Linked DNA regions of Medicago truncatula. The main gene of each other region encodes a partner of the protein of the gene in region 3 in a complex. Links are inferred from orthologs where the notes say so. Each region holds a gene or a part of one and is shown on either strand. Other genes may lie near its edges.

What was found.
Region 1: SNF1-related protein kinase regulatory subunit gamma-1-like (region 3) and SNF1-related protein kinase regulatory subunit beta-3 share a complex: the UniProt entries of both Arabidopsis thaliana proteins name them as parts of the probable heterotrimeric complex. The link is inferred for Medicago truncatula from reciprocal best matches to the Arabidopsis thaliana genes AT1G69800 and AT2G28060.
Region 2: SNF1-related protein kinase regulatory subunit gamma-1-like (region 3) and SNF1-related protein kinase regulatory subunit beta-1 share a complex: the UniProt entries of both Arabidopsis thaliana proteins name them as parts of the probable heterotrimeric complex. The link is inferred for Medicago truncatula from reciprocal best matches to the Arabidopsis thaliana genes AT1G69800 and AKINBETA1.

The regions. Positions count from the first base shown.
Region 1 is NC_053043.1:46,812,869-46,821,262, forward strand, and holds the start of SNF1-related protein kinase regulatory subunit beta-3, read left to right. Parts: upstream 1-4,521; 5' UTR 4,522-4,657; intron 4,658-4,747; 5' UTR 4,748-4,836; intron 4,837-8,289; 5' UTR 8,290-8,318; coding exon 8,319-8,381; intron 8,382-8,394. UniProt on the Arabidopsis thaliana protein: Regulatory subunit of the probable trimeric SNF1-related protein kinase (SnRK) complex, which may play a role in a signal transduction cascade regulating gene expression and carbohydrate metabolism in higher plants.
Region 2 is NC_053046.1:39,459,559-39,468,616, forward strand, and holds the start of SNF1-related protein kinase regulatory subunit beta-1, read left to right. Parts: upstream 1-5,338; 5' UTR 5,339-5,366; intron 5,367-8,700; exon of another isoform or gene 8,701-8,824; 5' UTR 8,825-8,903; coding exon 8,904-9,058. UniProt on the Arabidopsis thaliana protein: Regulatory subunit of the probable trimeric SNF1-related protein kinase (SnRK) complex, which may play a role in a signal transduction cascade regulating gene expression and carbohydrate metabolism in higher plants.
Region 3 is NC_053046.1:16,856,213-16,864,455, forward strand, and holds SNF1-related protein kinase regulatory subunit gamma-1-like, read left to right. Parts: upstream 1-4,446; 5' UTR 4,447-4,572; intron 4,573-5,247; exon of another isoform or gene 5,248-5,411; 5' UTR 5,412-5,419; coding exon 5,420-5,588; intron 5,589-5,666; coding exon 5,667-6,109; exon of another isoform or gene 6,110-6,347; intron 6,348-6,631; coding exon 6,632-6,898; exon of another isoform or gene 6,899-6,974; coding exon 6,975-7,147; exon of another isoform or gene 7,148-7,699; coding exon 7,700-7,979; 3' UTR 7,980-8,092; downstream 8,093-8,243. Other genes in the region: single-stranded DNA-binding protein WHY1, chloroplastic, read left to right, coding at 209-303, 1,098-1,171, 1,311-1,399, 2,149-2,259; pentatricopeptide repeat-containing protein At2g02750, read right to left, coding at 8,093-8,243. UniProt on the Arabidopsis thaliana protein: Regulatory subunit of the probable trimeric SNF1-related protein kinase (SnRK) complex, which may play a role in a signal transduction cascade regulating gene expression and carbohydrate metabolism in higher plants.

The DNA.
Region 1 (8,394 bases), on a different chromosome or scaffold from region 3:
TCATTGTTAACATCCACTATGACAAGAATAAATGAATAAGCAAATCATTTGGGTTATGGAGTGGCATGGCATTTAGGTTACAAAAATTATCAAAGTCCAACCGTCTCAGCTCAGCATAACCATAATAACCTATTTTTTTCTTATAATCTTCTATCATAAATTGACATGATACACTCGGTTAATAAACAGGAATCTAAATATAAAAAAAAAGAGGCTTGTATACAATAAGTGATTGAATCCACATTATAAAACTTCAAGAATAATCCGCCCAACAATGTGTATGGTGAAACTACAAAGTATGAAAATATAATGTAAGACAGAATTTTAAGAATATCTATAATGTCCTCGATCACTGCTAGACCAAAACATAAAGAGCAATAAATAAAGTTTTTGTATAGATTGGGACCCTACCTTGGATTAGGTTGTAACTCTTGAAATGTCTTACAACTTGAATCAGGTATGTCACCAATGTGTATCGAATCATAACTCCCGAACTTAAGCATTCTAATTGGGAGTTAGATCTACCTAGGTTCGGGAGTAAGGACCCGAGGGGATATATTGGGATGTTTAAGGGGCATGTGAGCAATCTAATTAGTCTAATAAACAACAATTTTCACAAAATTAATATAAGTCACAAGAGAAAATATGTACCACTTAAGGCAATTTTAGCTTGATGTGATTAGCCAAATGATTCATGACCATGATGTCATTATCATTAAACAAATTTCTTTGCTTTCCTTCCTTGAAAATATGTCGTGATAACACATATTATACAACCGTTTGTACTCCTTTGCGATATTTGAGGATGGAGGATCTTATAGGTTTTTGCCTTCCAAGTTGAACATTTGTTGAAGAAGTTGCTTCTTCTAAATCTTCAAGGTAACATACGAGCTTAATCCATAGAGTGTGTGTGCCTTTAAGTTGGAAGATATAATATAGGGTTAGCTTGATTTCAACTCCTTTAAGATTGCACACGAGCGGATTTTTGTCAGAAAAGATACTTTAAAAAAACTTATTTCCTTTGGAAGTTTGGTGGATTTCAAAGACGAAATTTTAATAGATTTTTTAACATTCAATGCGGAGGAAGATTTTCTAGACGATTTCTTAGCAGGGCATGTTCTGAAGATGGTTGTAGAATTGATTTTGGAATGTTTTTTAGGAATAGGTGGGGATGAGATATTGGTTTATGAGTCACTATTTGTGATGGTGTGAATTGTTTTGTCCACTTTAGAAATCTTTTTACCAGTTCTAATCTCAAATAGAATTATGGGTGATCTTTGGATTTATATTCGTTAAAAGACTTGATTTTACTTGGTTTGGCTAGGAGAAGTGGAGTTGAGGTTGTGTTTGGAGAAGAGATGGTGGGATTTTTAGAAGTTATGAAGGTTTTAGGTTCTATCTGAGTTTCTTGGTTTGGTTTTCCAATTTTGGTTGATGTTGAGTTTCAATCAATTTTCCATATTGGGAGCTAATATGTGATACAGTTTCAGGTAAGTTTTCTAGCAATTTCCTTAGTTATAGCCAATTTGATTTTTTTTTTTTAGAAAAAATAGAGATGAAGAGATTTGATAATCCGCTTAGTGGAATAAGGCTTGGTCGTCCATATTGAAGAGATTTGATGAAAATTGCTGGGAATAAAGAGTTTATAGGATAAAAGAGAACATGGAGGATAAAGAGTAAGGGAGTGCTGAGTTGTTAAGCGGAGGAAGGACAATAGAAAAACTCAGTGAGTATCAATAATCAAATGTTGCTTTGGTTGATGAACATGATTATTGATCATAAGCAAGCATGTGTTGCACAATCAAGTGTCCTTTACTCAATTGGTTTAAATGCTTACCGTTATAGAGTTTATCTAACCGTTGTTCTTAGGCTTTCATGGCCATTAATATCATTGATTTTCTATGAAAATGTGGCAACGGTAATGAAGAAATTGATTAAGCATTTAGCCACTTGCAAGATATATAAAGGACGCATGGAAACTATGGCCGGGGAGGAAGTGATCAAAAAACAAAAATCATGTTCATCGTGTTTGGCCTCGAGTGCATGGGTTCAGACATGCAGTAATGTAAACTTTGGGGAGCAAAACCGGATATTGGGTTGCACCGGAAATTTACTTTCAGGGCAGTGATTTTGGCCACGGCATAACAAAACTCTCTTCTTTCTTTCCTAACCATCCAAATTTTAATTTACTCTTAATATTTCCAACAGATTGTGTTGATTGTGCAGTTACAACCTCTATAGATTATTTTACTACATGTTTCGGTGTTGTGGTTATAGCCTGTGCTGCAACCTCCGAAATAACTTTGCTAAAAATCTTGTTTATGACAAATATGAGTTGAATCTAAACTAACAACTTGGTGAAAGCTCTTGTGAGTAGATTTAATTTTCCCTTATAGAATGGACATCCGTTCATACACAACAACAATTATATACTTCTCTTTTTCTAAAAAAAACACAATTCAACCGAGCTCGACTTATCAAATTTTGGGATCCAAAATATTTTTTTTTATATGTATAATACATGGCAAAATCCAACATATACTAATAAGGTGCAAATATAGAACCATAAAGATGGCCTGGTGGTAAACATATGTGTTGGCAACTAAGTTGTACCGGTTCAATGCGGCATTGAACCCAGTCCTTTATCATATTAATGTTTGGGTCTTTTCAAAGAATTTTACTATATATACCTCCCATAACTCAAATATTTCTATATACACCCCATCTTAAAAAAAAATGGGCCCCTACCGGCATGGGCCCTAGGCCGTCGCACTCGCGGCCTATGCCCTAGCGTCAGCCGTGCAATGCCTAAGAAGAGCCATATAACCTTTTTTTTCCTTTAATTAAGTTTTTTAGCATGATAAGCCTCAATATGAGTCAAATTTATCATGAATTTGAGGTCTATATATCTTCAATACTCTCTTCTTTTTTAAATTCAGTTCAACTCTCATCAATCTATTGGACTATGTATTTTTAAATAATAACATAATATAACTTTTAATTTTTTCTTATCTTTTTTTAGTCAAATTTATTATGGACTTCAGGTCTATATATCTTCAATACTCTCGTTCCCTTAAATTCGGTCCAACTCTCCTCAACCTATTGGTCTATGTATTTTTAAATAAAAGTACTATAACTTTTTTTCTTATATTTTAGGCAAAATTACACAATTCGTCCCTTAACTTAATTTCAGGTAATATTTTCATCCTTTATCTTATATATTTTTTCCGATTTTAATCTTTTATGTTACAATCAGGTAGCGCTTTAGTCAATTATCTTTTTCTTTATTCAACTTAATCATTTATATTACTCCCTCCGTCCCATAATAAATGAGTCATTTGCAACAAAAAAAAAATATTATCCCAAAAAATTGACTCATTTTACTTTTCAATAAAATAGTAATTACTTTTTTCAATTATAACTCTGATCAATTCTAATTTCATCACTCTCAATTCAATATATGCTACTTTGCATGTATGATAAGGAAGAATGCACGAATATTTGACAAAACACTCAAAACTATTTTTCTCTCTTTTTCACTTATAGATTTTTTCTTAGAGAAATGTTAACTTGTGCCCTAATGACATAGGATAAGAAATCAAAAGTAGAAATTAAATCTTAAAAATTGTGTATTTTTAATTTTGAAAGCTTTAAATTTTATCTTTATTTTTTGGTAGATAGACGAAATTGCAAAGCCATCATAAACACACAAACACAAAGTGGAGGTACCGGGGTTCGAACCCCGGTCATGACGTCCACTCTAATTATTTCGGTATTTTTGCCAATTGAGCTAGGACTTATGGGACTTTAATTTTATATTTTTAACTTGTGCATTTACCTTCTTAACTTGTACTCTTAGAGGACAAGTTAGCATGAACATTTTTTTTTTTTAATATGTGTGAAATTAACAAAAGACTCACTTAAGATGTGACGGAGAGAGTATAATCAGGTTAAAATGTTTTTATATATTTTGGTATATAAAAAAAAAATATAGTGTTAACATGTGCTTTTTGGGCACATGTTAAGAAACACAAAAGAAGAAATATTGTATAAAATTTTGTGCATTTAATTCATTAAAAAGTTAAAAATTAAATACAATACACACATTTCAATAAATAATTTTTATATTTGAATCATGAACTTGTGCCTTAACGCACAAGTTAGCATTAAAAAAAGGCTTAATTGTATTTTTGGACCCCTATCTTTTCAAAAGTTGCGGTTATGGACCCCTAACTAATTTAAATACAAAACAGCCCCCTATGTTTTGATTCTTTGACAGTTTTGGCCCCCAAGGCAAAAAAAAAAATAAAAAAAATGACACGTGGCACCTCACTTAGGGTGTCACGTCAGCGTTGATCGAGTCAACAATGGACTGGGGGTTCAAAACTGTCAAAGAATCAAAACATAGTGGGTTATTTTGTATTTAAATTAGTTAGGGGTCCATAATCGCAACTTATAGGATCCAAAAGTGCAATTAAGCTTTAAAAAAAATGTTATTATATTCGGGTAGTAACATGACATCTGTCTTTGTTGGAAAAAGGTTCGTAAGTTGTAACAGCCACATTTGAGTCTTTGACGACCTTTAAAAGCCAACTTTGCGTTGCGTGCTCTGCTTGTCTTCTTCTTCTTCACAGAATACGATGCACTCTTAGTTAGGGTTCGTTTTCTTCGTAAATGTTTTTTTTTTTTTTTTGCTTCATTGCTTCAAAATCAACGCTTCATAATCACTTTTTCTTTCCATTTGCAGCTCAGCACTTTCCATCGTCGATCACTTTCTCCCTTCTGTGTTTTGGTTCGGTCACTATCGAAATCTTAAGCAAGATAACTCAAGTCAAGGTAAGTTTTTTTTCTTCATTTTTGTGTTGAATTGTTATTAATCGGTTAGAAATTGTGTTTTATGTTATTGCATTTTGTTTATACCTGCATGCCCCCAAATTCAGTGTAAAAGGGTTTTGGGATTTATTGGTTTTAGTTTTTGTTTCTGCTTAGGAGCAATTTCAATTGGTATGTGTAGTTTGTTTTTGAGGTTCTTGTTATGTGGGTGTTGTCATTGTATTTCATTTGATGAGGGATTGTGTATGTTTGGTATGTGCCTTTGATTTGTGTTTGTGAATGCAACTCAAACAATTATCTAGGTTAACTTGTCCTAGGAAGATTTGCATATACTATCTCCGGTCTTAAATATAAAAGAAAGTTGAATCAACAAAAATCGATGTATCTAGTCCAAATTTGAACCAGATACAACAATTTTTGTTGACTCAACGTAGTTTTTTAGCTGGATTTTTATGGTAGCATTATTTATCAGTTTGACTTGAGTTTCAATAATAATGGCCCGTGAGAAAAATTGAATGTTGAGACCAGGGGGCAATGTAGTCAGGTTCAAGTTTTTAAGTGGAATCGGTAGGCTCGTAAAAGATCGTAAACACGAGGGTCATAGCACGGTCCGTAAGTAGGATTGGTAGGTTTTTGATAGAGTTGAGAGAAAAAACGGAAAATAGAGGAAAAACAGAGGAAACAAGCAAAAAAACAGAAAATAGAGTAAAAACAGAGGCAGCAGAGAAAAAACAGAGCAAACAGATGAAAACAAAAGAAAAATTAACCCGAGTAAAGTCGAAGCACGATTGAGGTGCCGTAACCAGCACTCGATCCTGACTACAATGCCAGGGGTGGATTTAGGTACCACTGGGCCAGCATTGTATTTCAATCTTATTCTTGTTGTAGGTTTGCTGTTGTGAGAAAATTGAGTCATTTGATGGATCTATGTTGTTTGACCGCTGTAGTCAGTTTGACGGTTGGTTTGTAGAAGAGTAGTCCATAGTGTAGTCTCATCAAAATTGCCGTGAAGTTATACTCTGATTAACTATAAAACATTGAGATTCTTGACATTGGTCGTTTTTTGATCCATCCGTGTCTACTTTCCTTCATGGTTCATGTTTTTCTTCGTGATATCTTGGTTATCGGATCTTACAGGACATAGTATAAGATTCATAATATAGGTTGTGTCATATCACATGCCATTATTCTTCCGAATCTTTCATCCTATATTTTGTGATTATCATGAATTTTATCAAGATTCTTGAGATTTCTCCTGTTTTAATGCAAGATCTTTATTCTCCTTCTATCTGTTTGGTAATCTGATACAAAACTTGCAAATTATTTATATTTCCAACTGCACAGATTTTTTATAACGAAGATGTATGTAGAAGTTTGGCAGTTTAATCATTGTACTGTGTTATTACCATATAAGCATTAAGCATTCAATTCAAATATTAAAAATATTGAAATTTGTTGAGGATCACATTTGGTGAAATGCTAACTTGTGATTTGTTTTGTACATTGAAGGATATGTTATCCTCTGTTGAGTTCTAACAGTGAGTGACTGATTATATAGCTACTTTGACTTCCACTTTACATGTATTATTAGGTTCTGAAAATGGTGGCCGTTGTATGAAGAATTATGAATATGTGATTTTATGTTTTAAAGATTAGAGTATTACCAGTAAATATCCTTTGAACATTTATAATCTTATAACTTTGTTCATTACTAAGATATCACACCCCTTCTTCCAAAATAAAAGATATCACCCATTACTTTAATGTGTAATCTATGCCTTGGATTTGTGTTTGTGAATGCAATTGAAGAAATTATGTAGGTTAAGTTGGCCTAGGAGGATTTGCATATACTACCTCTGGTCTAAAATATAAGGGAAAGTTGATGTATCTGGTCCAAATTTTGAACCTGATACATCAACTTTTGTTGACACAACCCAACTTTCTCTTATACTCCCTCTTGTCCTTTTTATAAGAGACATACGATTCAATAAAAGTCGATGTATTTGGTCCATATTATGAACCAAATACATCAACTTTTGTTGACCTACAAGTCTCTTATAAGAAGGACCAGAGGCAGTATTTAGGACATGATGGAGTAGTTTTTTAGCTGGATTTTTATGGTAGTATCATTTAGCAGTTTGACTCGAGTTTCACTCATAACAGCCATAAAAATTGAATTTTGAGACCAGGGGAGATTTAGGTACCACTGGGCCAATGTTGTATTTTAATTGCTGAATAGGCCCTCCGAGTTGCTCAACCTATCAGAACATATCTTCCAATAGGCTTGTTTTTTTGCTCATAGAAATGATCGGAAGTTATCTTCCGATGTGTGTTTTGAGGGGATTTTGCAGCAATGCAAGGGGGCCTGTAAAGCAATTATCTTCAACCATATTCTTATTGTAGGTTTCCTGTTGTGAGAAAATTGAATCTTTTGATGGGTCTATGTTGTTGGACGGCTATAGTCAGTTTTAGAGTGTGTTTGAAGGTAGTCCACAGTGTAATCTCGCCAAAATTGATGTGAAATTATAATCTGATTTTACTATAAAGACTTTAAATTCATGATATTGCTCGTTTGTTGAACCTTCCGTGTCTATTTTCTTTATGATATTGTGGCTACTGGTCATAGAAGACATGATATTAAGATTCTTAGTATAAGTTGTTTCACATCACATACCACCGTTTCGTCGAAATCTGTAATTTGTTATTATTATGAATCTTATCAAGATTCTTGAGATTTCTCCTGTTTTAATGTTAGATATTTATTCTCTTTCTATTAGTTTGGTAATCTGATGCAAAACTTGCAAGTTATTTATATCTTCAACTGCTCAGATTTGTAATACTAATAACAAAGATGCATGTCGAAGCTTGGGAGTTTGATCAATATACCATGTTATTACTGTATTAGCATTCAATACAACTTGTTTAAAATATTGAAATTTGTTGTGGATCATGTTCAGTGAAATGCTAACTTGTGATTTGTTTTGTGCACTGAAGGATATGTTATCCACTGTTGAGTCGTAGTTGTAATTGTGAGTGCCTGCCTGTGTTATATTATATAGCTACTTTGAGTTCCTCTTTGCATGTATTAGGCTCTGAAAATGATGGCAGATGTAATTTTGTATGAAGAATTATGATTATGAATCTGTTGTTTTATGTTTTAAAAGATTAGAGTGCTGCCTGTAAATATCCTTTGAACATTTATAATCTCGTAACTTTTATTACAAAGATATCATCCCTTACTTTTAAGTTGTTACCAGATTTTTCCTTTTTATGAATAAATTCGTGTTCCCATTACTTTGCTTTGTTGTGTAGTTTTTAATCAGATTAGGTGTACATAAGTTGATAGTATTAGTAATTTGTTGTCTCTTTAGATTAACCAATTGGAGTGTATCCGTTGTATAATAGATTTTTGTGTATTATTTGTTGATTATGCTAAATTGAAGTATCTTTCTTCAGGTTTCTTGGAATCTTAATTGGACTCATTGATGAATTCACAACTAGTGGTTGACTTGAATAGCAAGATGAATAATCCATATGCTGCAAACCCGGTAAGTAATTCAT
Region 2 (9,058 bases), about 23 Mb from region 3:
GTCACTATTATCCTTCAAAAACTCTAAGCTAATACGCGTCAAGTTTTGGATGAAAGAAGTCATGGAAGTGTCCTTGCAGGTGTGGCAAGAGTCTGTGCAGAGTGATATTAGGGAGTCTAGTTCTTGAAAAGATGATTAACTTCCAAATCAACTGAAATAAAGTAGATCTTAGATGATGTGCTGTGTAGAGAAATTTTCTAGAAAAATTAGTCTATGATACATGATTTTATCGAATTCTTCCACCTTTGAGACATGTTTTTTGTATTTGTTTTCCATATTCATCTTTGCTATGTTCTATAAGCAATAACATCATTCATAGTTAGGGCTCTGAGGAATGCATAGGTCAGAAAGCTTCATGGGAAATGAAAGGTTGCTATCATGTGTTTCACCATATTTCCAAAGTAGTGTTGATATTTTAGGATATGGACTGTGACATGAGCATCACAAATTTATATTCATCTTTGAAATGTTATTTTATTTTATGTTTTGTATTGTTGATTCATGGTATGTGAACTCATCTTTGTTTATCTCTAATAACCTTATAATCAAGAAAACAGAGAAAATGTTTTTTCACTTAGTAGACAGTTGGGAAATCGCGAATCCGTAACTAGCCAACTTGTTCTTTTATTTTTATTTTGTCATGTATCTTATCATTACGTCTATCCATGTCACTATTTCTTTTTATTTTGTCATGTATATTTAATTATTTTTAGATTTGAATACATGGACATTATATGGATTCATATGATTGGTAAATGATTTTTAGTTTGGAAATGATTTTGATGATTTTTTAGATAAATTTTATGACTACTAACATCATGTTGGATTTATTAAAATCCCACATCGGACACAAGACAACATAACACTATATTTATAATTGTTTAAACTGTCTTTATAAGCTTAGGAGAATGTAAGGGCAATAAATTAACTGTTTCTAACATCTCTCGATTTATTGTCTCCAACAATCTCCTTTTCCATTTATTAACTTCTCTGTATCCGACATTTTTTGGATTATAAAATTTGAATAGTCTTTGATCAAATACAACTCACATTTCAAATTATATATTCATCATAACTCACGGTTTTGATTATATATTCCTTTTAAAATCACTTCATTTTGATCCTCTATAAGAAAAAGAGAAAAACGAAAACACCACAACAACAACGGAAGCTAAAGCAAGAACACCAAAACCCCACTGATCAACCCCCCAACGAGAAACCATGGAGGCCAAAAGGAGGGAAAGCTCAACATGGGCGGTCGAGAACTAGAGGCCAACCACACAAGACACTCCCTATTTCCCTTTCTAAGTACTTCACTTATAAAAAATGTAAAGGTCTCATATTGTTTAACACTCTCACTCAAGGAATTACAAGCATAAAACACAAATGTCAACTTTCTATATTTTAGATGCCAATAAAGAAATAAAGGCACCAAGAACAAATATGATCAAATTACTTTTGTTAGTTTTCCATATTCATCTTTGTTATGTTCTATTTGTGGATTGGAGAAACTTTTGTTTTTCATTTATTTACTAGGTCTATGAGGTTGCTAAAGAAGTCTTCATGGGAAATGAAAGGTTGCCATCATGTGTTTCACCATATTTCCAAACTAGTGTTGATATTTTAGGATGTGGTGAGTGACATATTTATATTTATCTTTGAATTGTTATTTTTATTTTCCTTTTTGTATTCTTCATTTACTGATTCATATAATTAGCTTGTTATATTGTCATGTATCTTTATTTGGCCGAACCTTACTAATCAGACAGACCAGAGCATGACCCTAATTATTTTTAGACTAGAATACACGGACATTATAGGGATTCATATATATAATTTGTTTCATTTTATTCAATATACAAATGATTTTGATGACGTTTGAGACAAATTTCATGTCTGAAAGTAACTACTATATATCATGTTCGATTTATTAAAGTCTCACATCGATCACAATACAACATATCATTATATTTATAATTGTCTCATATGTCAATTTTAAGTGTGAGGCATGTGTAAGGGAAATAAATTATCACAATTTATTTCCCTCAACTGTGTCTTCATTTTGGTCTGCGTATACATAGTTTCATTTTATAGACCTCTATATTGGATGAGAATTTCTTTTTCCGACCTATTAACTTCTCGTGCGCCTTCAAAATTGATTATTTTACCACTGTTAGAACAACCTCTTCAAGTGAATAAGAAATAAGAATTTGAGAAAATGTAAAACAATTGTCACCTAAAACTTATGTTAAGTAGTTTATGTGAAATTGTGAACCTATTGTTAAGAACTTGAAAATATTTAATTCCATCACTAACACTATAACATGCTACAGTGTTGCAGTTTTGTTCATTTTAAGATTTTGGATTCAAAATATATGTTCAAAATTGAAATCTTGAAACTGTGGAATGTTGGCACTAATGCATTATATACATGGCTTCTACAAATTTCATTAAACAAATAATTATATGTTGAACGTAATTTGAAAGAAATACAAAATACTTTAAAAGTTGTATTTATCTTTGAATTGTTATTTTGATTTTGTTTTTTGTAGTGTTGATTAACTAGAATGTGAACTCTTCTTTGTTTATTATCTCTAATAACCTTATAATCAAGAAAAAGGAGAAATTGTTTTTTCAATTAGTAGACAGTTGAGAAATCACGAACTGGTAAATAGTCAAATTGTTCCACAGTGAAGGTTCGTAAACGGTCTTTGGCTGGCTATGTATCAATTTGGAAGCAACCTGCAAAGAGTTGGATTTATTAAAGTCTATCAATGTCTCTCCTTTACTATTTCTTTTTATTTTATCATGTATCTTTTATTATTTTTAGAATAGAATACACCAACGTCATAGGGATTCATATAATTGGGACAAATGATTTTTTAGACAAATTTTATGACAAAAGTAACTACGAACATCATGTTGGGTTTATTAAAGTTCCGTATTGGACACAATACAACATAATACTATGTTTATAATCGAGGTGAAATGTCTTATAAATTATGATGAAAGTGGAGGGGATTAAATTGATTGTCTCTAAGATTTCTCAATTTTGATCCAGCCAAGCAACCTTTTATGATTTTTGCTTGAAGTGCGTACGGGGGACAAATTGGGTTTTTGATCGAATTTTAAATTTTAAAGGATATTTATTTTAGGAATTTTTATTAAATTATGTTAAGAATTTTGTATAGATTTTGCTAAGAATTTATTATTAATGATAAAAAGAAAATAGTAGTAATTTTCGAAAATGTGAATGAATTAGGCGTAATGTCTAGGATCAAAATCCAAGGCGTTACAATTTTGATGATGTTTGAGACAAATTTCATGACAGAAAGTAATTACTGCATATCATGTTGGTTTTATTTAAGGCCCACATCGGACACAATACAACAAAACATTATGTTTATATTAGTCTGAAATGTAAATTAGAAATGGAAGAGATAGATGTGTATGGACATAGATTGTCTCTTAAGCGTCTCAATTTATGTCATATATCATCATTCTTCCATTTTAAACGTTTTAAACCTCTAAAGAGAAGAGAAGAACTGTGTTTATGTTCGTGCACTCTTCAAATTGACCATTTTATCTCCTTTTGAGAATAGAAATTATTTTCTTTTTGCACGTCCTTCAAATTGATCATTTTGTTTTTGTTTAGATTTTATAAACCAAAGTGTAATTGAAATTTTTCGGATATTAAAATCTGAACATGTGTTTAGACAGCTTTGATCAAATTCAACTCACATTGTGTTGCGGATATATTGAAAAGTCAAATTATATATTCATCACAACTCGTAATTCAAATTATGCTTCAGCATCGGTTTGGTAAGTACAAAAACAAATATTTTGCATTTGAAGGGAGTAATGTTAATACAATACAATTTTCACTATGGAGTTTTTGCCAAATAATTTATTCTTGCCTTCAAGCTATGGAGTTTGTGGTCCGTGTTCATAATGTTTATATTATGACGAGGATATTGGGATTACTCGAGTACATGTCATAAATAATGGAAAATGATTGGTAGACCACTCATATTTCCATACCACTCATACACCCCCACATATTCTAGAGGAGAGAGATGGATGAAAGAGAAGAGAGACAAAGTGTTTGTGGGGTCTAGGACACGTGTCACATGTTTATGTGGAGGTTTAAGTGTGTATACCACCTATGGATGTACATGTATCACCACTTTAAATAATTAAGGAATTTGTTGTATTGTGGATGATAAGTAAGCAACTATTGAAGATTTCATTTGTCACACCTTATTATGATGCATAATCATTGACATTTCTATATTTTGATAAGAAAAAATAAGGACACACACTCTAATGACTATGACGCAGCACTCAGTTTGAAGAATAGTTGGGGAAATATGCAACGTATTCATGTATTTGATAATGGGAGTTTGACTAGCCAAGATTTAACTAAGGGACTAATTAAGTTCTCTCAATATACTTTTGCTGCAAGGTACATATTGGTTTTTGGGTCTTTGTAATGAGTTTAAGGTGCCACTGTCTCTCAATACCTCGTTGACAATCACAAGGTATTTACTTTATAGTCCCTCCGTTCTTTGTCTCAAAATATAAATAAAAAAGACAAACTTTTATCCTATTTAATCTTATTTTTTTTAAAAAAAACTATTTTTCAAGAAAAACTTTTGTTTATTCTCATAAAATTAAATGCAAATTATATTCAATTTTCTCTCTCTTTCATTTTTTCCATAATCAATAACCAATGAAAATTGTTTTTACATTTTCCTATAAAACTTTTTTCAAAGAAAGCACAAAATTATACTCTAAAAAACTTTTTGCTTATAATTTGGAACGGAGGGAGTATAAGATATGATGATTAAATTGTAACATTTTCTCTTATTTTTTTCAAAATTGAGTTTTTTTTCCAAAGAGAAACTCGGTATCTACTACACCCTAATTACTTTAAAAAAAAGTTGGACCCTTTGGATATTTATTGTTACTGCATGTCCAACTATTGAATGGTTATGGCCCTTGGCAAGTTGCTAATGATGGGCATGCCCCTGCTTGTCCCACTAGACTAGAGTGAAGGTGACCGCAATTGCAATTGGTCTCCTTAATGGAAGGTCGATTCTTTTTTTTCTTTCACTCAACCCTCTAATTCTTGGAAGAAGGTAGTTTGAAAATCTGAGCTGAAACGTAAGTAAAAGTTAATAAAAATTATATTAAATATTATTTTCAATCTTGAAATTATCCTTAACATCCGTCTTCATCCATCTGAACTTGATTCTTGTAATTATAATTTATATGGAATTTTTTTTCCATTGGTCCTACCTTGTATTTAAATTGTAAACAATTTGGTGAGTGGTCAATTTACAATAGGTCTCTCTCTCTCTCTCAATTCAGAACTTTGCTAGTTTTCAATAGTACACACACGTGATAGTAATCGATTTGGAGTTATCTTTAACTTGTTGATTCAATCATTTGAATGCACACCATCTTCGTCCTCAAGTCCTTTTGGGGAACTTTTATTGCTTTAATAAAAAAAAAGTGTTGCTTACAAGTTACAACTACATGATGTATTATTATAATGTTGTAAATTGTGATTTGGTGATTGCATGATATATATCAAGTAAGATTATTTGCGAAATGGTCAATTATTGACATTAATACATCCAGTTCTATTGAGTTTATATCAATCAAGAGACGAGACTCATATTATATTGAGCTCACACAAGAGGATGATATTGATGATCCATTTTAGAATAATGAGAATTCTAATTGATTATCACCTTATATATATATATATATATATATATATATATATATATATATATATATATATATATATATATAAGGTGATAAGAAGAGAGATGCATAAGAAGTATCATTTGAGAAAGAATTCATGCATTTCAAATATCTAATTGAGTAAATTTTTTAATTGAAGTTAAACTAACCTATCTAAATTAACTTCAGGAAGAATCAAACTGTATCAAACCAACTCAAATGAATTTCAAATATCTAATATATTTGATAAATCAACATATTGTATATCACAAGGTAGTTTATAATCATAATCTTTGTATTCAATATGTCTTGTATTGATTAACTAACTATTAAACCATGCTTATATACGGGATAAAGAGCATATTTTATTAGTTACCAAAATGGAAAGAAAAGAAAATGTCAAATTGTCTTTAGACCGGGGGACGAGACTCGTACATTGCATTTTAGTAGTATTCCTTTGTCCGTGAGTGTGAAGCACGTCTTTTTTTACTACTTTTTTAATACAAAGTGTCTTTCGTTTCGCAAACCCTAGTATAAAAATTGATAGTCAAATATAATAAATATTACATTAAAATTTGTGTTGTCAACTCTTTAAAAATATAAAAAGTGTTATTTTCATTTTAAAATTTCATATTTTTAATTTTCTTAACTAGTATCCCGAGAACACCGGTTAACATGACGCATCAAAATTAGGCTTGGCAGCTATTTCTTCATGCGAATCTTGCATTTTGTCAGCTAATCATTTAGAAATAAACTTTTGTTTTCCATTTGTTGATTTCATAATCTGTAACCCACACTCAGAACTACGATGAATAAAAAATGTTACTAAATACTTCAACAATAAACTAATTCTGTTGGTTTACGATGCAAAATGAATATTTGATCAATGTCAATTTGTTTATAATAGATGAATCAAAACAATCAATTTTGTGTGTGTTAACCCTCCAATTTTTAAAGGAATATTGCCTTAATGATAGGTTAGGAGATAAATAAAGTCTCAGCAATCATTTTTCACCTAAAAATCAATTTGGATTTTCCCCAGCGATAATAACCAATTTTTTTTTTTGTGGTGGCTGGAGTTCGAATGATAATAACTAATTTATATTTTTTGTGGTGGCCGAAGTTTGAACCCCTACCTTACAGATATTATGCATAGTCTTTATCAATAGAGCTAAGCTCACGAGGACATAATAACTAAAATTAAATTCAATTATCCATTAAACATAAAAATTGTACTACTCATTCATTATACCATCTTTTCAATGGATGCACATCTATTCAGAACGTATAATTATATCAAAAATAAAAATTTGTATTATTTAAAAGGTACTTTTGTTCGTTATTATTTAAAAAGGACTTTCGTTCATTGTTTAGAAAGTAGAAACTATTTAAATTTTAAATTAATGAAAATTATCTATTAGCTTTAGCTCAGTGGTACTCCCTCCGTTTTAAAATATAAGCAAATTTTACTTTTTAACTTCATTCCATTAATGATGTATGAGGTTTATATTATGAACCACATGAACCACATAGATCATTAATTGAATGAACCTTAAAAATAAATTTTGCTTATATTTTGAAACGGAAGGAGTAGAAATTTGCCTTGCGATATCAAAATACTTAATTTGAATCATCTCATGATTTCTTTGAGTCTTACAAGTATGATGTCCCTTGAACCTCTCATTTGAGACATTATTTCTTTGTTTCATCTTTCTTATCAAAATCCTCCAACCATGTTTTTTTTTCCTCTTTCTTTTCAAGTGAGTTAAGATCCTCTCCATTTAAATTTTTATCTATTTCTACCATTTAGAGAGATATAGACACAAATTCTTAAAAATAATTAATGATAGTCAGACTTATTTAATGATATGACCCACCACCTACTTTATGTGTCTATATCTCTCCAAATTGTAAAAATGGAGAAAAATTTAAATGAAGAGGATCTCAACCCTTTTAAATCACTAGAGCCTTTATTAGGATTCCTCTTCCTCCTTTTAAGTTTTAATACAATAGTTTTTGTTTGTTTTTCACTTTTTCGTCACAGACGAAGTAAGTTATACACACATAATAAGAGGTTCAAATCTACGACACTTCAAAAGAAATTAAATCTAACAATATTGATGTAATTTATAGTGGTTGATCTTACAAATGTTGCTTGTTTTTTATTTACATACAACAAAGTAAAATCATAGTAAGAAATTAGGTTGTAAATACGATGATATGTGTAACTTCCGTGAAAGAAAACCGTGATTTGATTCTTCTTCTTGTTTTTTAATTACAAGGGAGGTTATTAGGCTAAATTACAAACGAATACGTCGATTAAAATAGACATTGGCTATATCCTGTCGTAAAAGGTTAAGATAACTCGGCAATGGAGGTCCAAATAGTAAGTACACGTAGGTATTAAAAAGGCATAACTCGAAAATCAATCAGCTACTTTGGTTTGTCTGCCTAAAAATATAAGAAACGCTAATATGTTAATCCTTCATTATAAGACGATTAATGAGTGAGACAAACATATACTTTGGCAAAGTGGTAAAGAGGTTGTCATCGATAGACCAAGGCATCTGTTTGATCCCTTGTGCGGACATCTTAAATTTTAATTTGGATCAATTAGTTTAATTTCTTCAAAGAAAAAAGAGAGTGACAATAGAAAAGTAAGGATGTGTGTGTCGAGGGACATCCTTTGTTAACCAAAGATATCGTAATAGTTGAGTCAAATTCAAGAGAAAATGTTGCGCGTATCTTTTTTTTTTAGACATACGAAATGACAAAATTATTATAAATTCACACATAAGTGAAGTTTTTAAATTCGAACCCTAATCATAATGTTCCGCTTAATAATTTCGATATTTTTATACCATAAAAAGTGTAAGAAAATAAAAAAAGTTATCTTTTTCTCTTCTCCCTCATATTTTATTTTTAATAATAAAATTTCTGGCTCGAAAGTCCAAAACATCCCAGCGTCAGATCAGACTCAGACACAAAACTTGATAAGAACGAACAACGATAACCGTTTTCTTCTTCTTCTTCTTCTTCTTCTTTGCAACACTTTCACTTCTCAACAAACTCTCTCTCTCTCTCTCTCACAATTCTCGTTGTCGTTTACTCTTCTTCCTTCATCTACATTGCAAGTAAACGACAACAATATGGGAAACGCTAACGGAAGAGAAGACGGAGCTATTCCCGACGCCGGCGATCCTTCCGGTCGTGAACCTCACGCGCCACCTCCTATTCGTGCTTTTTCTTCCGATTCAATGGCAAATAGTCCGCCTCAAAGTCCTCGTCGTTCCAGATCGCCGAT
Region 3 (8,243 bases):
ATATTATTTATGCAGGTCTATGTGTTCCGTTTTTGCTTATGTATGGTAAAATTAAGGAACTTCTATATTGTTTTTTGAATGAGCTTTGTATAGTACATTTTGTAAATGATTTCTTTTATACTTTTAATTTACTGCTAACAAGTAGCAACTGATATGACTGTCCATCAATTTGCTTTTATGTAATTTAGTTGTCTTTGCTTGAACACAGGTGTTTTCACTATCTGTGGATGAAATGGGAAATCTAATTAATCTTGGTGCAAGGGAGTCTTGTGAAATTTTTCACGATCCTTTTATGGGAAGAAGGTAGTTTTTGTGCTCTACCCTTTCTAATTATTTTACTGAATGATAGAGCATAACAGATTGAAAGTTTCTGATCTTTGCGTGTTTTTTCTTGTTATAAAAATAGACTTTCCTTCTCAAATAGGAAGGGATTTGGTGGTGTCTTCAAATATGCAATTGTCACGGGCCTGCTTTTATTGTGTTATTTGAGTTTATCTACTAGCACTTGTGAAACTGTTTGAGAGAGGTCATGGAAATAACTTATGATATGTCCATAAGACCATAAGCTGTTTTCAGCTTATTTACTTAAGCTCTTCAGGATAGTTAATGAAAATAGCTTATAGCTTCTATGAAAACAATTTAACTATTTTATCTTTTCTTGTAGAAATAGCTTATACATAAGCACTTATACATGATAAGCTTTTATGCTATAAACACTTAATTAGGCTGTTTATCCAAACAGGGCCCATATATGCAGATTCATACGCATTATAATTGTTAGTGAAATGCTATAATCTTTCCTGTTTTAAAAAAAAAATAATGCTTACTAACCGAATAGTTAAAAGTATTCAATGTCTTTGCCAAGATTTAATGTTAGCATGACAGTTTATAATTTTAAAGAATTTGGAAAAGGCTAACATATGTTAAGGAACTTAATATGTAAATTTTGTATTTGAAATTGCCAATTTATTTCTCAAAGAGTTGAAACTTAATTTTTTTCAATAAATATTTATTGTGGAATCCTTAACATGTAAGGGCACATGTTAGCATGACCCTTTATAATTTTACAAAATTTGAGAAATTGTCTTGTTATGCAGTGATGAAGGTAAAGTGAGAAAAGTTTTAAAGGTGGAGCCACTTCACGACGGTTCCGGTCACATGTTTAAACTAAGTAATGCTCTTCATAAACTGCTGTTAATATATATACTTCCCTTCCATCGGGAAATTGTTAATATATACTCTTGGATCGATTCTTTCCACCCTGCACTAATATAACTTCAATTCTGACATTGTTTTGTCAATTTTCGAAGGTGTCCAAAACCAGCTCAAGAACATCGATGAGAACATATTTATCCCTGTCACAAAAGCGGAATTTGCAGTTTTCAATTCACTTTTCAGTGTATGATCTCTCTCTCTCTCTCTCTCTCTCTCTCTCCCTCTCTACCCTTGGTCACCCCCTACCTTTGTTTTGATTCAAGTGTGTCGTAATTTTATCCCACTAAAATTCTAGTGTAGATATCACCTTACTTATTTAGAGACCAGCTTATTTTAGAAAAGCTTTTTTTAAGCAGAAATGACTTTTTGTTATTATATACCATAGAAGATGCAATCAAATCTATTTCATGTAGTTAATTTTCTTGCAAAATAGTAGCTTCTCTAAACATTCTATCAAGAAAATACTTGTCTAGCTAAATTAGGAATATGCCTTTTGCATAAAAAGTGTGGGGAAATCTTCAAGGTTTATAGAATTTCTGCTTTTGTCTAATACAATTCATAATTAGGAACTCCTGATTATGTTTAATCAACGTTGTAAAATATGTGGCCATACATATAGTTTTTTTACTCAAAAATTAAATTAAAATAATAAAATTGGCTTCGCCCGGACTCGAACCGGAGACCTTCAGTGTGTTAGACTGACGTGATAACCAACTACACCACGAAACCTGTTGTTCCTAAATGTAGTTTTTAGGAGTATATTTTGTAACTATCAGTAATCATTGTATGCTCTGGTGAATCTATATTTATTCATCAAAGCCAATCTTCCGCGAATGGACCCTCGACAATATGTTTTTTGCATGAGTAATTGCATATTGCTCTTTATGCACTCAACTTGATTAATATTGTAAATTTTGTTGATTTTCTATGCAGTTTATCATGCCATATCTCTTAGGTTGGAATGCCTTTGCCGACTCCATAAAGCCAGAAGTAAATATTGCAAACCCAAGAAGAAGAGAAGAAGACTTTGAATGGAACAGATAGGGTGATCTGCAGTATTAATGACCATAGAAAGTTACAATACACCATCTTGTATGATCTTATTAACTTTAGAATGTGTTAAATTAAATCACCTCATTTTGAGAAGTATCATTATTGGTGCACATTTTTTAATTCAATTGTTTATATAATCACTTTTATAAAATGAAATAAAAGTGTCTTTAGTTTTAACAATTTTTACTTAAATTGAAAACCGGAGTGAATGTAACTGTTTAATTTTATTTTAACCTACAAACAAGATGGATGATACTTATTAAGTGGCAAATTGCTGCAAACACAAATGATGACATATAAGATTTAAACGAGTCTGAATATTTAATATATTCTGTGCTAATCATTTTGTTCCCTTTCAATTTTAACTGAACTTACACTCTTAACTTCTTAATTGATAAATAAACGGTTACTGTATTATTGTACATAAGCATAAATGATTTGGTTCAATATTTACAAAGATCATAGAGATTGAAGCTCAGAATGAGTGGTTACCATTCATGCACACAATGCTTTATTGTTCAGACTAATTATAGTCTTAATGAAATTAAATTATTTGAACACTTAAAACATTTCGAAGAAATTGTTCCATTCAGAAGCAGAAATAACCAATTCTGCATGTTGTGAGTTTACATTGTCTTATGGTAACATCCTTCTAAAAATAATCACTAAAGAAAAGGAGGAAACATTAATTAATCAGCTTTTACATCAAACATGTCCAACAAAATAATAAGTGGCTATGCTTGCATGATATGAACATAAAGTTCTATAGAAGCAAGCAATTGTACCACCATTATGAGATGTTTGGCTTGAGATATCTAAATGCTACATTTCATAAGTTACTATGACCATCTCATTTTGAAGTAGTAGTTGATTTGACTTTCATTTTAAGGGCTGGAATCAAAGCTAGGCTTCTCAATAATAGTAGAAGGTCATTTCAAACTATTAATAGTTTAATGTAGACCTCCAGGAAACAAAAAAAAAAATGCAGGCCATACAAAACATGTGCGAATAAGATGAAATGAAAAAGAAAAAAATGCAGGCCATTTCAAATTATACTGATCTAGAATCAAGAAATCTAAATATCTAATAAATGGGAATAACATAACAATTTCTCAAACTAGAGATTCAATCAGACATTAATTAACAATGATCCATGAAGTCACCAATGATTAGAACAAGTACGAAATAAATAACATATTTGGAAATTAAGTTGCAATCGAGTCTAAAGTTCAAGTCAAATAGAAACACATCTACATCTTTAAATTAGAAACAAGGTGATATCAAACTTTCAGAGACTACCGGGCCAATCTCACTATTGATGGGTCGAATCTTTGAAATCTAAAGAGTGCCCCGTTTGAAATTATAAACAACCAAATTCCTTTTTGCCCTACATCCCAACAATAATTGATCATCCTTAAAAATACATATCACCTTGTTATAGCATAAAACAGTGGCGGAGCCATAAATTTTGTAGAGCCTTGGCAAAATATTTTGCCAAATATTTTTAGAATACATATTAAATAGTTTTAAGATATTATTATTAATACAATAGAAAAAAAAAATTAAAAAAAAGTACCATGGATCAAACACACGCCCTTTGAGAGTTAGGGAGCTCGCCAATCCACTACAACATCAATGTAACATATGATAAATTATGGATAATATGATAATTATAGGTAACTTGAGGGCTGCAGTGGCTCCTATGAATCTTCTAGGAGATCCGTCATAGAGCCCGGGTGTGCCCAGACTAGCTGAGTGGTAAAACCGCCCCTGCATTATCTGATGTTTGACTGATGAAGGAGTGTGGAAATGAAGCGTGTTGGACTAAATCATTTAATTTTCAATTTGCTAAAAAAAATTGGCTTAAACCATTTTTTTTTTTTTAAATAGGTCTATAAACTAAAAAATGTGTGCCTAAACCAATATGATCTTTGTAATAAGATGCGTTTGTTTTGTTACAGTCTTTGGTCGGAACTAATTATGAAAAAATTGTATTAGTACATGATTTGATTACAAATTTTTTAGTTTAACAATCTATATAAAACTTTCTAAATAGTTTAGAGACATGCGGTGTAATGTGTGTGGGAGAGGGAAGAATGAATAATAGAGAAAAAACAAACTATTTGCATTAGAATTCAACAAGTGGTACAAAGAGCCTTTGACACGAGTCATATAACAACACATGGCACTGCTAGAATTTCTCAAAGGCCATTGAGAAAACAAACATAACCACTTCTCCATAATAGATCACAGATATTTAACTTTAATTTGTGTCTGAATCCATTGCCATTCTCAACGTGATAGGTACGTCAACCTCTCAAATCACTTGTCTATTCTTCATGCATTACAATTTCAAAGCATTGCACTATAAGTTTACAATTGCACCATGTTTGTTCATTGTTTTTTGAGGTTGACATTGTTTATGTTATCTTATTATGATTATGATAAACAATTTCTTCACCAAATTTTGTGTTTCAATGATACACATTTGGCCATACCAATCAAACATTAGAATATGAGGAAATAATAGGTATGACCCATGATTAATGTAATAACTAATAAACAATATAAGAGATGAGCAAGTAATATTGATCACTAGCTCATTCATTTATAGGATCAACGTGATAAAATATTGTGACATGAGTATAATCTTGCAACCTAATAAAATGTAATTCATAGCCTTGCCATACAAGTCATTTAGATTTTCAGTCACTTTGGATTCATCTTCATATTTGAGGAAAAAAAATCCTTTGGAATGATAAAGATCTGAGAGAATAATGAACCTGAATGATACTAGCATTTTTTAAATCTGTACATTTTAAATGAAGTGTTTGGTTGTGTTGTGTGTAGTCACAGTTATTTGGATATATTCGCCTGAAAGTGAGTTGATTTCAGGCTAAAAATCACGTTTGAAAGCAAAAGCTTCAAATTTCAAGTTAGAGTTCATTGCAGAAGCAAAAACAAGTCAACTCTAGAACACTCAATCATGTCAAAATTAAATTTTTAATTTTAGAATCACTATAGTCTCTCACAAAAATGAAATCAAAAGTACGCTAAATAGACAAGGTATAGATATTTCTTCTGCTACAGTTCTGCAATTTCATGAAAACCATTGAAACCTGAATTAATAAAAATGTCTTCAGTTCAAAACATGGCACATGAACAAGAGGTCAGAACAAGCACCCAACTTTCAAAATGTGACCGCTACTTCGAAACCATACAATCAAGAAAGAAGCTACCACAAACATTGCAGGAGACATTGACAGATTCATTTGCAAAGATTCCTGTTTCTTCTTTTCCCGGAGTTCCTGGAGGAAAAGGTAAGGGCTGTTAACCATATATAAATGCATTTCAAAGATATCACCTTATGCATTTAATTTGAATCACTACTTTGGCAGTGGTTGAAATTCTAGCAGACACACCTGTTGGTGAAGCTGTTAAGATTCTATCTGAAAGCAACATATTGGCAGCACCAGTTAAGGACCCCGATGCAGGAATTGGCTCAGATTGGAGAGACAGGTACCTTGGCATCATAGATTATTCAGCTATAATTCTCTGGGTGATGGAGAGTGCAGAACTTGCTGCAGTTGCTCTATCAGCTGGTACAGCAACAGCTGCCGGAGTTGGCGCGGGAACTGTCGGTGCTTTGGGAGCAATAGCATTAGGAGCTACAGGTCCTGCTGCAATTGCTGGGCTAACTGCTGCTGCAGTAGGTGCAGCAGTGGTAGGTGGTGTTGCTGCAGATAAAACCATGGCTAAAGATGCTCCGCAAGCTGCAAATAACCTCGGCGAGGACTTTTACAAAGTAATACTGCAAGAAGAACCCTTCAAGTCAACAACGGTAGGCAAACAATGGTTCTACTGTAAACTGTCAGTTTTTTTTTTTTTTTTTTGAGCTTATTGCACTTTTGTTTTAAGCTTTTTTCTTCCTTGGTTGAGAAGAAATCTTTGAAATAAAATATCTCTCCCTAAGAGAGGAGACCATTTCTAGCTGAGACAGGCTGGTTAGCTATTCATTTGGCTTTTGTTGTGTTGATAGTCAATCATATGTATTTCATCGAAAAATTATAGTTGTGTTCCTGCACAATAGAATTGAGAAATGTTTTTTGTTATGTATAGTTCTATAAATTGTGGTCCGCAACTGCAATTGTGGCCGCAATATAACAGTTTTAGAGGTCTCTAAATGACATCACAACCGCAATTGCAGCCGCATTTTACCGCATTACAAAAGTTCACTGGGTAACTGTGACAACAATTTAAAACCATTGTGTGCATAAATTGAGCTAGTTATAGTGTAGCAAAAATTTTGCTTAACCTTCACATAAAAAATAAAAGAGAGATATATGTCGAGTTTTGGTTTCAGGTGCGATCAATACTTAAATCATACCGATGGGCACCCTTTGTTCCTGTTGCAAAAAATAGTGCTATGTTGACTGTCTTGCTGTTGCTCTCAAAGTATAGGCTGAGGAATGTACCAGTGATAGAACCCGGTAAAGCAGACATAGTAAACTTCATTACCCAGTCTGCAGTTATCCAAGGTCTTGAAGGATGCAGAGGAAGAGATTGGTTTGATTGCATTGCAGCCAGGCCTATGGCTGACCTTGGACTTCCTTTTATGTCTGCTGATAAGGTAACGATTTGCGTTTAAAACTTTCAGCTTTCCCTCAACTTGGAGATTTAAAAACACCTTATTTCTTCTTGTCCAGGTTATTAGCATCCAGAGTAATGAATTGATTCTTGAAGCTTTTAAGATTATGAGGGATAATCAAATTGGTGGTCTTCCTGTAGTCGAGGGGCCAGCAAAGACAATTGTTGGAAACTTGAGCATAAGAGACATCAGATACTTGCTGCTAAAGCCTGAAATTTTCTCCAATTTTAGGTGAGCCTAAGTAGAAATTGGGAATCCGTGTGGTATGCATCTCTAACAATAATTACGGAAACACGCTAGTCTGTAAAATCTAAAATCAGATACAAAATTGGTTCTGCATTTTCAAAAATAAAACTCTCTTTGGTTCATCTTTGGTTAAAATACAAAAATAAAGATAATCAAACAAATGACTACAACAACAACCAAGTCTTATAACACCAGGTGAGTCGGCTATATGGATCAAACTACGACATAAAATTCTATCATGAATTGTATAAACCATTGACCTCTAAGATTGAGATCAAGTTTAAAAATATCAATCAATCATAAATTGTATATCTAGTCAAGCCATTGACCTCTAAGATCGAGAAAAATATTAATCAGCTACGGTCATAAGATTGACCACTTAATATACATGTGTGTGATTGTTTGTGGGAATATTTAAGGAAAACAATCAATAGCTACAATTATGGCCAATGGTCATCACACAAGCTTGTAACTTGTAAGAGAACTAATTACTCAACTGAAATGTCTTCTTCACCATCCCTGTATTTTGACTTTCAGGAATCTCACTGTGATGGATTTCATGAAGAAAATTGTCTCAGCATCCTATGAATCTGGAAAAGTTACTCGGCCTATAACCTGCAAGCCTGATGCAACTCTGCAGAGCGTGATTCACACTCTTGCTTCACAGTCTATTCACAGGATTTATACAGTAAATGGACAAGATCAAGTAGTTGGTGTCATCACACTGAGAGATGTAATCTCTTGTTTCATCACTGAACCTGATTACCATTTTGACGATTACTACGGATTTGCAGTTAAAGAGATGCTGAATCAGTGATTTACGAGGAAGTTTAAATAGGCAGAAGAAAGAACACTCTAAATGTAACAAACTTTATGTTATCTTAAAGAAAAAATAACATTTCATTTCAAGTTTTTCTATGTAAGCAGTTTTCATGTAACTTCTATCATGCTAATACCAGAGTTTTTGTCCAATCCTTTATCTGTGATCAATCCTCTTATCCTTTCTACTTCACTCCATCTTCCCAATGCAGCATATATGTTAGACAGAACCACCAGTGGAGCTGGATTTTTCGGTTCTATG